2 linked regions of the Astyanax mexicanus genome follow. The protein of the gene in region 1 interacts with the protein of each later gene in a pairwise test. Links are inferred from orthologs where the notes say so. Each region holds a gene or a part of one and is shown in the gene's direction. Other genes may lie near its edges.

What was found.
Region 2: the proteins of htt (region 1) and pias4a interact in binary tests that used the Homo sapiens proteins (3 or more experiments, as listed by UniProt). The link is inferred for Astyanax mexicanus from reciprocal best matches to the Homo sapiens genes HTT and PIAS4.

What each region holds. Positions count from the first base shown.
Region 1 is NC_064414.1:46,261,280-46,268,507, forward strand, and holds the start of htt (huntingtin), read left to right. Parts: upstream 1-4,157; 5' UTR 4,158-4,507; coding exon 4,508-4,605; intron 4,606-6,283; coding exon 6,284-6,367; intron 6,368-7,228. Other genes in the region: C-type lectin domain family 4 member E, read left to right, coding at 85-336, 486-610, 1,247-1,350, 2,421-2,559.
Region 2 is NC_064423.1:23,645,981-23,653,947, forward strand, and holds the start of pias4a (E3 SUMO-protein ligase PIAS4-A), read left to right. Parts: upstream 1-4,877; 5' UTR 4,878-5,000; coding exon 5,001-5,027; intron 5,028-6,323; coding exon 6,324-6,708; intron 6,709-6,839; coding exon 6,840-6,924; intron 6,925-7,061; coding exon 7,062-7,103; intron 7,104-7,231; coding exon 7,232-7,322; intron 7,323-7,576; coding exon 7,577-7,705; intron 7,706-7,967. Other genes in the region: scamp4 (secretory carrier-associated membrane protein 4), read left to right, coding at 369-486, 1,510-1,692.

The sequences.
Region 1 (7,228 bases):
TTCTGCATAATAAGGGTGTTATGAATGAAAATGTGTGTGTGTGTGTGTGTGTGTGTGTGTGTGTGTGGGCGGATATTTCTTTAGAAGCTGAGTCAACTCTGAACAAGTGCATGAGAATCTCTGCAGGATGTTTGGGGCTACTGTGTGTTCTCCAAGCTGCTACCATCACCACACTGTGTCTGAAGCACATGTTTGATAAAGAACATTTACAAAACACTATCAATAACCTTACTATAGAGAAAGACCTGTTACAGACCAGTTACACCAGTCTGACCACGGCCCAGCGTCTTTTACAGAGCGAGAACCAGAGGATAGCACAGAAGTTCAATCATTTAGGTAAGCTTAGTTTATTATGTTTCTTTATTTAAAGGTAATAATTCAAGCTTTTTCTTCTGATGACTGTTTGTTCGGACAGTTGTTACACTAAATATATCTATAAATAAACTAAATGCATAATAATAATTTAACCACTGCTCTTCCTCAAGGTTGGAGGTATTTTAACTCCAGCATTTACTACACCTCTACTGAGAAAAAGACCTGGGCTAAGAGCAGACAGCACTGCAGGACGATAGGTGCTGACCTGGTGATCATAAACACAAAGGAGGAACAGGTGAGAGACAGAGAGAGAAAGATTGTACTTTCAATGTTTGGGGTCTTTAGTTCCAGTAAAGTGCTGCAAAATGATTATTGACATAATACTGTAAAGCATGTGAAATCATGCTTGGCAGTAAAGTAAATGTTACTTGCTCTTAAGACCTACACCCCTGTGTCCAGGAAAGCAACCATTATATAAAATATAACTCAGTACCCAACAGGAAATAGCCCTGGCAGGCAAGAATCCACACTAATGGTAAGTTAGGCGTGGGAAGACACGCCCAATATGCAAATTAGGGATGTTTGTAGGCTGTTTCTGGTCTCACAACAAAGCAGTAAATGTCCGTAAAATGTTTTAAATATAAACACCTGTTTTTCCCACAAATGTTACAGTTATATATACAGATGACAGCTGTTTTCATAGGACATCCCAAGATGCATTGCGTTCTACAGTTTTACAGAAGAACATTGTTAAAGAGTTATTTACTGTATGATTTTAGTGTAGAAAATACTGGGTGTAGATAGATAGATAGATAGATAGATAGATAGATAGATAGATAGATAGATAGATAGATAGATAGATAGATAGATAGATAGATAGATAGATAATAAGGGGCACATGCTAGTAATGTATTTTACTACATGTAAACAGATTTTTGTATCAGGATTTTCCAGAGAGGATATGTGGATTGGTCTAACTGATGAAGAAACAGAGGGAGTTTGGAAATGGGTAGACAACACGACACAAACTCTGGGGTGAGAGACTTTTTATTACTTTTATTACTTAAATGAAGAAAAATAAATATTATTGAACTTTTACTCCTATTGGCTGTTAATGTAATGGTTCCTGACCTAGATTTTCAGATACAAATACCTGGAAATAAAGGCTGAAATGGGATTGACCTAAATTTTCCAATACTTTTGGAGAGGAGTGTATTTATAATTTACCATTAACAACAAAGCTCTACCCAGTGACACTGAGATTTTAAGGGTTTCAACATAATTTGCGCTGGCCAAACAGAAAAAAAGCATTTTCAATATTTTAGTCATGTCTAAAACCTCCTGTTATGTTGCAGATCAAATTGGCCAGATTTATAGTTTAATAATATTGCATTTAAACATCTAAAATTAATTTCAGAATATATATTTTTTTAATTACTGTGCATGTAAATGGAAAATTACTAATTTAATGTAATCGCAACATCCTATCAAATGCACACACTTAGGGTCATGTTAATCCTTATTATAACAAACATGATATGATTGCATTTGTGTTTCAAAGGAGAAGTGAACTATTATACGTAAACCGTGTTTAATAATCCAACAGTTTAATTATATATAGGTTTCTAGGAATACTTTTCTACTTTTTGGATGGTTAAACATGCACTGAGTGAAATGAATCCAGAAACGTTTTTGTTGTTTCACTCAGTTCAACAAGATTTAAATCATAAAAACAGCTCTTATAAAGGCCCACATCATGGAATACTCAAATCATTTGGAATACTCTTTTTTTTTGCTTTTATGTATTTAAATGAAAAAAAAGTTTTGTAAGGTAAACACTGCTTCAAAATGTACATAATCAATATGCATACATTGTTGTTTTTTTTTTCCCCCCCAATACAGCTACATGTTTCTTTGGGTAAAATAAAAGTAACAGGTAGCAATGGAGCAGTGATGGGCTGGCAATGATGTTGTAGAGGGTTACACTGCTGCCCTCTGGATGCCAGATTTGAGTAGGACTGAGAATCACTAAGAGATGTTGTGTTTTATGTGATTTTGGGTGAAATCAGTAATTAAACATGAACCCTACTCCTGTGCTGTTTCAGGTACTGGATGGAAGATCAGCCCAACAACTTTAATGGAAACCAAAACTGTGCTTCCATACAAACGACTGGGATAAATCCGTTAAGAACCTGGAATGATTACCAGTGCTCTTATGAGAAGCACTGGGTGTGTGAAAGATAGATTACACACCCTTTAAAATAAATTATTCTCATTTCTTTAAGTGGAAAATGCACTTTTTTTTTTACTTTAGCTTATGTAAACTGAACATGTTCTAATTTGTATATATTTTATATTAAGTTGTAGTCTTCGTAGGCAGGATTTTTGATTTAATTAGTCCTATTTATATTAATTTATTTTTTATTTTATAAATAAATGCTAATTTAATAATTTTATATTAGTTGTGAGTAGATTGTGTTTTTATTTTCTCTTTCAGTCCCTGTCTTTAATATCTTTAAATGTTTGGCTGCAATGAAAATGAGGGTCACTCTCATTGTACCTCTGAGAAAAAAATATTAGTGATTTATTGATAGATTGATTGAAAATTAGTAAACTAGGAGAGGAGCAGCAGGGGAAGTGGCACTGCACATAAAATACAATAAGCCACACAACTAAAGTTTAGAATAAATAATTAACACTGGCCCTTTGTGTATAAGAATGGAGTCCAGGGGTAACACTGTATATACAATTGCTTAAATCATCACAATGTGTAAAGGCATTGATGGCCTGTGGAGCGACATCTGTTAGTTAGTGTTAAACTGTTAAGGCCCCTGAAAGCCCGAGGGAAAAGCTGTGTTTGGGTGGGTAGTAAATGCAGAGTTTAACAGACTGCATGTACTGCATGAGTTTTTCAGGTCTTGTCTAAAACTCATAGTCATGAAAACAGGCAGCTGTCAACACACAGGAAGGCCAGAGCAGAGAACAGACACATCCATAATCCAGACCTATAAAAGAAGAGAAAAGGGTAAAAAAAAAGGTTAAACCAGCCATACAAACACAGTTTAGGCTCCTGTGGGAGCAGCACTAGTCTGTAGTAACCAATTAGGGCCAGCAGAGGGAGACATTGTTACAGTTAGTGAATGAAGACGTATCTATGTTTCTTAAGTTTATTTATTTGATGTCTTGAATAATTTTGACAATGTAGAACATCATAAAAAGAAATAGTTTAATTTAAATACATTTAGACGTTTGATTGGTACTCTACATGGTTTGTCTAATGAACTAAAATCCAAAAATGCAGATTTTATTTGCTATAGAGACAGTTCACAGTGGATTGATATTGAATCATACTTTGCTCAACACACCATATTTTCTGTTCTCTATTGTTCTTATTATGCGTTCTACCTATCCATTCACTTCTATTAAAATCTAATCAATTTATGTATGTATTTTATGTGTCTGTCTATCTATCTGTTCAATTCAATTCTATTTATGTATTTACTGTATATTTTATATTTCATATATTTATTTATTTATTCTGACAGAACCGAATGCTACTGATACAGTGATCTTTTTCCGTGCTCAAATGACCATCCATCCATCCATCCATCCATCCATTTTTCTGTTTTCCTATATCGCCAAGTATATCGTTATCGCAAATATTGTGATATTATTTTAGAGCCATATCGCCCACCCCTACCATCCATCCATCTATCCATCCATGTTGTATAGAAGGTATACCAAAACATGAATGAGCACGGACTTTCAGGAATGAATGGGTTTCTGCTGAGGGGGTGGGAGGACTCTTATTTTGACAGGTTTCTCTGTTCGCTGTGTGTATTGTGCTCGCGGGTTGCTGCGGTGTAAAGATGGCTGTGCGGATCAGACCCGCTGTGAGCTGCGCTCCGCTCGCGCTTTCTGCGTCCCGCTGACGTCCCGGCGCGCGCGGAGTCCGGTAACGGGTTTAACGGCCGAGGCTCACGGTCGCTGCGGGTTTTCCCCGGTACTGTCGGGCTGCTGAATTCCCGTGGGCTGTTTCTCGGAGCGTTGCTCGCCCTGCGCGCTGGTTAGCAGGCTGGCTAACCCCACAGGTGTAAATATTAGCTGGCTAAGCTAAGCTAAGCTAGTTAGTACCTAGCCCGCTGGCTGGCGGCTGTTCCCCCGGAGCTCGCCGGCCGCGCGGCCCGCTGTCATGGCCACCATGGAGAAGCTGATGAAGGCCTTCGAATCGCTGAAGTCGTTCCAGCAGCAGCAGGGCCCGCTGTCAGCCGAGGAGCTCGTCCAGAAACAGTAAGTCTGAGGGGAGGGGACGATAACGTAGCTACAGCGTTAGCTGGCTAGCCGTGTCTCCACCAGTCTAAACCAGTCATTTAGCTAGGTTAGCTAATTAGCTTAGCTAGCGTTATGTGTTGACATATTTAGCCAGTTAGCTTAGCTAAGCTATGTTGCTAGCTGTCAAGCTGGTAGCCAAAGACGTCAGCTGACCTGCTTAGCTACCTTACTAACTAGCTAACGGTCAAGATTTGCTTATACCAAATAATACAGTGTTAGGAAACGTTAGTTAATTTTATTAAATAGTAGGTTAGCTATTTGGCTATCTGTCTTTAGGAAAGCATTTTCAGTGCATACAATCTAATGACCCTGACTCATTTATCTGCAATAGCTAGCTGATAAACACCTTAATGGCTAGTGATGCACTGGCTAATAAATCAGTGCTTCTTAGCTTGTCTTAGCTTGTCTTGTGCCCAGTAAAAGCATTAGGTTAGCTGTGTTATGTTTTTCCTTTACATCAGCTTAATTATTGCCTATTAGATATATTATTAGATATATACTGAAGCAGATATCAGGTGTGCTAGAGCTGGAAGTGATGCAGGTATTCATCTGTATATTCTTGTTTATATAGCTACATAGCTGTATATCGTTGCTAAAAATAAAAATCAAGCATCTCCGTTTTTGACAGTTTAATTTTTAGTTAATTTGAACAAATAAACATTTTCACACTTTGTCAAAGTTTTATTGCTCAATGCACCAATAGAAATTCCCCAAGATAACCTAATATAAATTATTTTTACCTTGACTTCAATTTAAAGTTAAGAAGGTTTTATCTTTCTCCTGTTAAGCTGGGAAAGGTGCAATGATTAGTCTGTATATTCTTATGTATATGGTAATACACTGAACACTTACACAAAGAAATAACGTAGTTATACGTTACACAAACAAACGTAATTATATTATATTGGGATGTTATGTGATAGACAAACACAAGTAGCAATTAAGTGTGAACTGAAAAGAAAATGGTGCATGGTTTTTAAAACCTCTATCTGTAAAATGGAGCTGAAATCATGTGTGCTAGGTCAGGAAAATGTACAATCTGAACATTCTTGCGAATTGTGTGTATATGTGTGTGTGTATATATATATATATATATATATATATATATATATATATATATGTATATGTATATATATATATATTTGTATATATATATATATATATATATATATATATATATATATATATATATGTATAATGTGCCTTTGTCCTGTATTTTTATATTTTGTATATATTGTATTCTTACTACCAAGAGGGATTATGCACCCAAGTTTTTCAATCATCTACCTACCTTAAATCTGTAGTCAGAGAGTTCTTACTGTTTAAAAGACTAGAGTAATAAAAATAATTACCCTTTTTAACTTTAAAGTAGTTTACACAGAAACTTGTTATGCATGCCTCTGAAGAGCCTGTCTTGGCTGTATTGCTGGAAGAGTATAAAGAACAAATGATCCTCAGAATGATTCCTCAGAAATGAGCTGAACTCTTTTGTTGTACATTTGTAGTGCAGTTTATTTCTTATTTGTTTTTAGATTAAGGAACAGTCAGAAATATAATAAAAATAAAAATTCTCATTTTGACCATGTTTTTTCAGTTGTTTATTTGTTAATTGCTAAAACATGTTACTTCTTTGTAGGAAAAAAGATCTAGCCACGACCAAAAAGGACAGAGTGACTCATTGTTTGACGATATGCGAGAACATCGTAGCACAATCTCTGAGGTATGCAGTACTTGTTGTTTGATCTTGTGAGTAACACATTTATAAAGCAATTCAGATTAAGGATTAACAGATTATTATTATTAATATTTATATTATTATTATTATTTTTTAATTATTATTATTATTATTATTATTTTTATTTATTATTTTTTTTTTTTACATTTTATTAGTCATTAAAAACAGATTATTAAAAGTATCAACTAAAGACATAAAACTGATTTATTCAGGGACTCAGATTAACACAGGGCTCAAAACACCACCACTCACTAGGAATGTGGAATAAAAGACCTTTGGAAAAATGTTATCTGGATTTACTTATTTCGTTTTTTTCTCAAGGAGAACAAATGTGTAGCACAATGTGATGGTTGTAGTTAAGGTTTTTAGGATGCCTCACATTTTAAGCATTTTTTTTTTGAATAATGAAAATATTCTCAGAAAATAACACTCTAATGTACACCAAATATACTGAAGAAATAATAATGTGCTGTTTGTTTGTAGGCCTCTCACAATAATCAATTTTTGGATGATATAAATAAATGGTTTAATTGTATGGTTTTATGGTGCTGCTTTTCACCCCTTGAAGGCTGTGAAAGATCCACCAAATAACTTGTACAAATGTTCTCTGTCATAGCAATTGAGAAAAACAGTCTACTTCAGCTGCAGAAGAATGTCTTGCAGTGCTGTTACTGTGTCTTAATATGTCATCCTCTCGCTGACTAAAGAAGCTTGCTGCTATGATGACAGTTAATTAAAGTGATCTTTCTGTAGTGTCCAGACCATGACTATATTAGTTTGACTGACTTGATAAAAATGCAGTTTGCTTCTAATTGAATCACACAAGATGAATAAATAATTAAATTA
Region 2 (7,967 bases), on another chromosome or scaffold:
CTACTTCAAATGATCACATTTTAAGTTCCACTAGCTTTGATATTGTAATGCATTGTTGCTAACAGCAGAATCCAACCACCACATAAACTGACACTGAAAAGATGGTAAAATATTCACTTGAGTTAACTATAGGAAACTATAAGAAATAGTTTTTAACCTGAGTTCTCACAACAATTTTAAACAGTATTTTAAATGGTCAGATCACTGAATGAGCTCAGCTGTTCCATCAGAGAAGACTGAATTCTGATCATCATCACATGATTCGGTGTGCAGATAAATAGGTGAAAGATACAAGACCTGGTAATGACTAACCCAGTTTACCTCTGTCTTTCTCTCTCACTCGCTCACCCCTTCATGCCTTGCTCTAGTGGTTGGATAGCAACAGTGATGTTTTTCGGCACTAACGTGGGATCGGCTGTGGTTATGCTTTTCTCGGCTGTGCTGTTCACTGTAAACACAGTGTTCATGGGGCTGGTTCTTATCAGGGTAAGTCTAGTGCAAAGCATACTAAACTGCCTATATAAGACACACCTTAAAGGAATATTCCAGATCTTCATATAACTTATGGCCGTTAGTTAATTATAGATGTGTATGGACTTTTTTTTCCATTTTCTGAGAACTGTTAACATTGGCAGTTTTGAGTCAGCAGTTTTCAAATTCTTTTACTAGTTTTAAGAAAACGCATCAGACATAAACTAGGTAAAAAAAAATGCTTCTTTAGTGTGGTCTTTAGGACCACAGGACCCTGTTTATTCCACCTAATTTTCTCGCAAAGACAGATGTTGTAATGCATTTACACTGTATGTATAAACACTAGCATGCAGAAGAACGTTGAACTTGTCTTTTGAAGACTAAGAATGTTAGCGCAGGGAAATCAGCAAACTGGTATAGACTCAGCTCCCTGTTGCCTGTCATATTAAATAAATGAAGAAATTAATGCTATAATCATGTAATGTAATCTGATAACTTATTGTAACTTTTATAATATATGCAAGGATTAACTCTAGTATCAGAATTTATTTTTCTATTTTCCAAAAGCCTATGTAGTCCAAAATTAGGCTTACGGTAATTCCGTCTCAGAAATTGACCCTTATTGTATAAAGTCGCATCAAACAGTCCTGTGTCTACACAAAACAATCTGAGGTCCACATTAACAATTGTGTGTTCTTGTATAACAAATCTCCCATCTAATACACTCTCTTATAGAGTATAGTATTCTTTGTAATGAAAAACCTTTTAGAGGAATGTTTTTTTTTTAAGTACTCTGGTGGACATTAAGTTGGTTTCACACACTGTTGAACATAAAGTGTGGTAGTATATGGGATTCTAATTGGCTCTGGCTCTAAAACTAGCTTTTCAGAGATTCTGATTGTATCTGCTTCAGTTTGACTTACTGTCCCAACCCTGTTACATGTTTTTGCCATTTTTACCCAAACCTAATTGAATCATTGCATAATGTAAGTATCAAAAAGAGTGATAAATGTTGCATATTTTGATTTCTCTTTTCAGGTTCACCGGCTTTATCGTGGAGGAGGAGGCAGCTTCCAGCGTGCCCAAGAGGAATGGACCACCGGTGCTTGGAAGAGTGCCCCTGTGAGAGAAGCTGGCTTCAATGCCATCGCTGAGACTGGCCCAAGTCTTCCTCAGTACCCTGCTGCTGTGCCCAGTTATCCAGAAAGTGGACCATGGTGATGAACCATTCCAGACTCCAGGTGGAGCCAGAGTGCTCTATTTGTCCCCCTGCGTATAGCAGATATCTTAACTTCATGCCTCCACATGAATGACATAACAGTGAAACTGTGCAAGTCTAGAGAAAGGGGACTAAACATCCCGTATAGGAATCCATTGTACTTTTGTTTACAAATTACGTTGCCAAACCGGTTACACAATGACTTGTGCATATGTGAAAGAATGTAAGTAATGTTACTTGATAAAACAATCATGCAAATAAGGTACTGCTCACAATCAAGCCGTGGCAGCTTTAAAAAATTTCATTGGGACTGTGAAAACACTTTTAATTGCAGAATTGCTGAATTATAACACTACGGTTTTTTTTTTCACCAAGTGATTCCTTACACTACAGTAAGTGCACCCATTAACTGTGCAGCAGACCTTCTTTGACCTTTTGCTGAAAATGCTACATATTTTCAAGAAAAAAAACTGACACGAGTTAAAGGTGTTTAACTATATTTATCAAATACTGATATGACTGGCAGTAGCTAGACCTTTTATACATCAGAAATGTGCATAAGAATTGCATGCTTTTTATTTGCAGATAAGATTTTATTATATTTTTTTGTTCTCAGTGCCATGCCTTTTCTATCTGCTGCTTTGTGCCTGATCTTTAAAACTGACATGCGCCTTAATAGTCCTAGCATGTGCAAAGAATTATCTTTCCAGTTGCCTGAAGTTCTGCAGTTCCGTGAGTGGATATGGCCACGTCCATTTATGCAGAATTATTATTATTGCTATTATTATTTGCTCAGTGCAGTCAGCACTCTTCTTCTTCCTCCTAAATAACCATTACTTATGATTTCAGGCCCTGCTGTTGAAGTATACATTCCTTATGCCAATGTTTGTTCCAGCTCTCTTGTTTCAGTGTGTTCCTATTTGGAGCACCATGTTTACAGAGTGGCCATTTGAACCTGGGTTTTGAAATATTGTGAATTTAGTTGTTTTACTTTATTTTTATCTCTTGAATTTTCCATTTCATCTCTGGGCTCCATCTCATGTATAGTGATGACTAACATATGACTGTAAAATAAATGCATTGAGAAATGTATTATTGAGACAGCTAACTTAATAAAAACATTCCTTTTCAGATTGAATGTCTTTTTTGTAGTCTCTAATCAACAACATGTCCTAAAACAGGAAGGGGCAGTTTTCAGTCTCTTGTTATTTCTTGAATATTGATGACCGAGTTATAGTTTGCTAAACGTTAAACAGTACTTTTAACCATGAATTCTTTAGTGAATATTTAATCCTAACAGCTTTGGTCCAGCAAACACCTCTAAATAAGTAAAGTACTATCCTACAGAGCAGAATTTTGCTTATTATGGCAGAACTGTAGACAAGAAGACACCTGATACAGCATCAGCAATGTATCACCAGCTAGGATTACCTGGCAATAAATCTGGTGCTAAAAATGATTTCAGTTTTTGTTTAATGCAAAATGTACAAAACAAAGCAAGCACTAAATAAGTACTAATTATTTAAGTGTCATGAAACATGAGTATCATCACCGAATCAGTAATAATGAGTGTGACCTGGCAACCATGTAAACTCATGTAAGCAATCCTAAAGTCTTAAGATCTTAAAATAAAGGTATTAATGCCCAAAAGGCATATAAGAAGATAGCAAAGCTTTCTTATGGAACAATGTTAAAAGAAAGTTACATGACATAATTAAAATAATAAAAAGTTATGAAAACTAAGAACAAAAATAAAAGAAATAAAGTACTAAAAGTATGCAACGGAGATTAAGTTAAACTGTTGGGGAAGCCCAGGTAAACAGATATGTTTTCAGGTTACAGTCTGGACACATCTCACAGCTTCTGGGAGTTTATTAACAAAGTCAGCATAATGTCAAATACATCTCAATGGGCTCTCCTTGTTAAGAAAAACGTAATAAGAAAGATTTAGGTGATCAAAAATGATTTCGGTCATGTCCACATATAGTACAATAACTTGGTAACATAATTATTGTAACAGGCCTAACAACTGTATATAAAAAGAATGTGGTCTGTGAATGTCTCGCCAATTAAATAAAAACAGTAAAAATAAATATATTTAATGATAGCTGCCATTCAGCATTTTAATTATATTGATATTGTTGTACTTTAACCCCAGTATGCAGGAGAACAGAAGAACCACAACTAAAAAGTGTATTTAAAAGTGTATAAATAAAACACAGAGCAACTGCTCCCCCGCATGTCTGCACCAGGCCTCAACTGGTTCAGTCATGTCCTTCTTCTACACAGTGAACTGTTCCTAAGAGAGCCTGACATCAAACCAACAGAAATAAACACCACAGCTCTATCACACTGACTACAATTGTGAGTATATTGCAATGTATTATCACTTATCATTTCAGCAAGAAAAAAGAATGCTTACAGAAATTTTACCCCAGCCCTGAATAATTAACTATAATTGTAAGGGTAAGAATCTGGTGAAAATGTCTTTTTGATTGATTTGGATTTGAATTCCCTTAATATGTTCAATCCAGCTTTAAGAGGGTTTGCTTTTCTTATCAGACTAGTGGTGACAATTCATAGCCCTGATTCTTTTACCCCGCTCACTGTTCAACATTCCCTTTGCTCCCATCCCCCACCGCTCACACTCAACCAGTAAAACACGGCATGGAGTTGGGTGGGGAATGTGCACAATTGATTTTTCCATTCCATCTCCTAGTCCAGTCTTATTTCCTCGCTCCTGCTGATTAAACCATAAGTTCAATCTCATCTCAGTTTATGATAACAGCGTTTTATATTGCCGAAAGCATTCGTGGCCTTTTAAACGCGTTGGTGTGAAACAAGCAGGTAGAAATTAAACAAAAGCGTTTATTCCTGAATGTTGGGTCGCCAAAATCCCGACATGGATTTTCCCACGCGGGTCGGAGCCGGCGGAGCCACGCGCTCCCGTCCACTTCACGCTGAGCGTCCTCCGCCCGCTCTGAGCCTGGACTGAAAATACACCGGGCTTTCGCCCTCTCTCCAGACTATTAAAGCAGGCACGCCGGAGGATGAAATTCACACAGTGTTTGGACGGGTTTACAACAACCAGCGGCCTATGAGGACGGATAGACCTGCCTGCAAGTGCTCTTTTTTTAAAAGAGCGCTGTGACTTTAAACGCACGAAGCCACGCCTCGCTCCAGACAACACCGCCCACTTAGTGACGTTCAGGGCGCTGATTGGACGCGGCGGGCCGTCTCCGAAGGCGGTCGGCTCTTTTCATTGGTCTGCAGCTGCCGTTCGCCTGAGGACTCTCGCTGCTTTGTGAAGATGGCGGCCGAACTGGTAGAAGCGATGGTGAGTGGATGCGCGCTTTTGTTTTTCTTTGCGGGAAATAAAAGTGCTTTCCGGGAGCAAAGAGGAGCCGGTTGATGTTGGTTTCGGCAGCGGTGTGAGCGCTGAACAGCGTGTCACGGCGGTTTTATTCCCGCTCTTAGCCAGTGAACTGCGTTGGCAGTTGAGCAGGAGCTAAGCTGGTTAGCTAGCGGCTAACGTTAAATGAATGATGGGACTTCAAAACAGCTCAACTGACTGAGAACAGTAGCACTTTGCTCATACAAAACCTCGAGCTGAGGTCCGGGCTTAACTAAACATCCGCAGCTCCTGCTTAACAGGGCATTGGCGGGTCAGGCTGGTAGTCTGACAACTAGTATTAAAGCTGGGAAATGAGTGATCTGCTGCTCAGCTCATCCGGTGCCCCCTCCGCACTCGCAATAGCCTCCAGTAGCCGTTTAGCTAACCTAGCTAGCGTTAGCTAGCACACACTGTATGTACTACAGCAGCAGCAGCGTGTGTTTATGATGGGCTAACAGCTACCAAAGAGCTTCACAAGTAGACTGCTGAGTTGACTAAGACAGTTCATTAGTAGTGTTTTATGTATTATTGGTTTAGTAGGTTAACTGTGAACTATGAACACGGTGATCATGGTCATTTAGTGTAAACAGATGAAGCATTATGAAGGGCTTGCGTAGCTACAAACTGGCGGGTAAACCCTAGTTAGCTACTCGCTAGCTTAGCTAGGTTAGTATGAGATGATGTATGTAGGCTGGCATGGTGTTATGCTATTAGCTAGGTAGCTAATAGCTTTGATAGCTATCATAAACCGTTAATAATCTACTAATACTGTTATAAGCAAGCTATAAGACACGAGTTATATAGAAAGCTCTGGAATAAAGCTTCGTTGATTTTGCCAAATTAAAAAAAAACAGGAATATAATTAAGAGGAAGATGGATGATCACAAGCCATCAAACTATGCTGAACTGCTTGAATTTTTGCCCCAGGAGGAAATATTGATTTCTGAAAACATTGTAAATATAAACTTGTTTTCTTTGCATTATTTGAGGTTTGTCAATAGATTAAATATTTACTCACTAAATGTCAGTGCTTTCCACATGTTTACACCATACTGTTATTTAAATGACATTTATATCCGATGTACAGCTGTTTTCTTTTTTAAGTGATCAAAGGCATAATGGAAATAATTGTTAACTAATCGACTAATAAAAAAAATCATCAGATTATTTATAGACACTCTAACTGTGTTTACTCTTATTTTTCTTTTCTCTCTCCACGCCTGCTACTCCTCTGGTCAGAACATGGTGAAGAGTTTCCGGGTGTCTGACCTGCAGACACTGCTGGCCTCGATGGGGCGCAGTAAAAGCGGTCTAAAGCAGGACTTGGTGGGGAGAGCTTTGAGACTGGTGCAGACGGAATACAGCCCAGAGCTGCTGAAGAACGTCCGCCAGCTCTATGAGACACGCTTTCCCAAGTCGACTGGATGGTTGGCTGCCCGTCGCCCTGAGGGGGTCCCGGCAGTCTCCTACCCTACCCTAAACAACTCTCCTCGAGGCACAGCCCAGGGCACAGACTACCTCAATGGCATGCCCAAGCTGGCCGCACCGCCAGCAGCCGAAGTTAAATTAGTGCCCTTGCCCTTCTACCATAACTTAGAAACGTTGTTGCCACCTACAGAGCTAAGTAAGTCATGGTTTTGTTTTGGTTTGGTTTTCACGAATTGTCACTGGTTTTTTGTTGTTGGATGTGTTCATTGACCATTAGAGGTTGAAAGGCTGATGTTAGACTCTATTAAATCTTGCTATGCTTTGCAGTTGCCCAGAACAGTGAGAAACTTCAGGATAGTCAGTGTGTTTTTGAACTAACACAGGGCCAGGTGGACCAGATCCGAAATTCCGGGTGAGTAATAGCTGAAAAAGGGCAAATAGACATAAGTACCTTTTTATTATAGGTAGTTTGTTTTTAGTATTATCTGTGTTTCCACATCTATATCTTGTGTTTTTAAAAGAAATGCAAAACTGTTTTTGTGTTCTCAGTGAACTTCGTGCAGGGGTGAAATCAGTTCAGGTGGTTCTTAGGTGAGTCTGTTTTAATGTGTCTTTTTGTTTTGTTTCTTTATTTGTGTGCTATTGGATTATTGGACTGTGTAGATGTGTTGTTTTCAGTTCTAATTTTTTGAATATTCATCCTTTTTCGTCTTTTTCAGAATCTGTTACACAGACTCCATTGGTGTTCAGGAGGACCAGTACCCTCCGAATATTGCTGTCAAAGTGAATCAGTCCTACTGTCATGTCCCAGTAAGTGCATTCATGTCGGTTTCTTGAACTTGTAAATTCAGACCTAATGCACTTTACTTCTAACTCGCAGATTTAATTTGATTTGATTTGATTTGTGATTCATAACGGAAATTAAGAGAAGTCTTTTTTTTTTTTTTTACAGATTTTATTCAAAATAGTTTATCTATGCAATGTTTGCAAAAAAACATTTCTCTGGGATGATGTTTTTTCAGAATTTCTATTAAATATTTACCTTCGTCACCTGTCATTTCCAGGGTTATTATCCTTCAAATAAACCTGGTGTGGAACCTCGTCGGCCCTGTCGCCCTATAAACATCACACCCTGGCTTCATCTCTCCACAGCCACCAACAGAGTTACCATCACATGGGGTAACTTTGGAAAGGTAGATTGGCTTTTAACAATTTTATTCATATATTTCTTATATGTGAGTAGGCCGGTCACGAAAACGTAATTTTCAGGACGATATATTGTCCTATATTTATTGCGATAAACAATAAATTTGTCATTTTAAAGGGGGACTATATGAAATTCTTTTTTTTCGTGCTTCTGGCCTCCCAAAGGAACTGTGCCACAGTAATAAAATACTAGCACAATATTACTATTACACCATTTTACAGTGAAATTAACTTTTTATTAATAAGAAC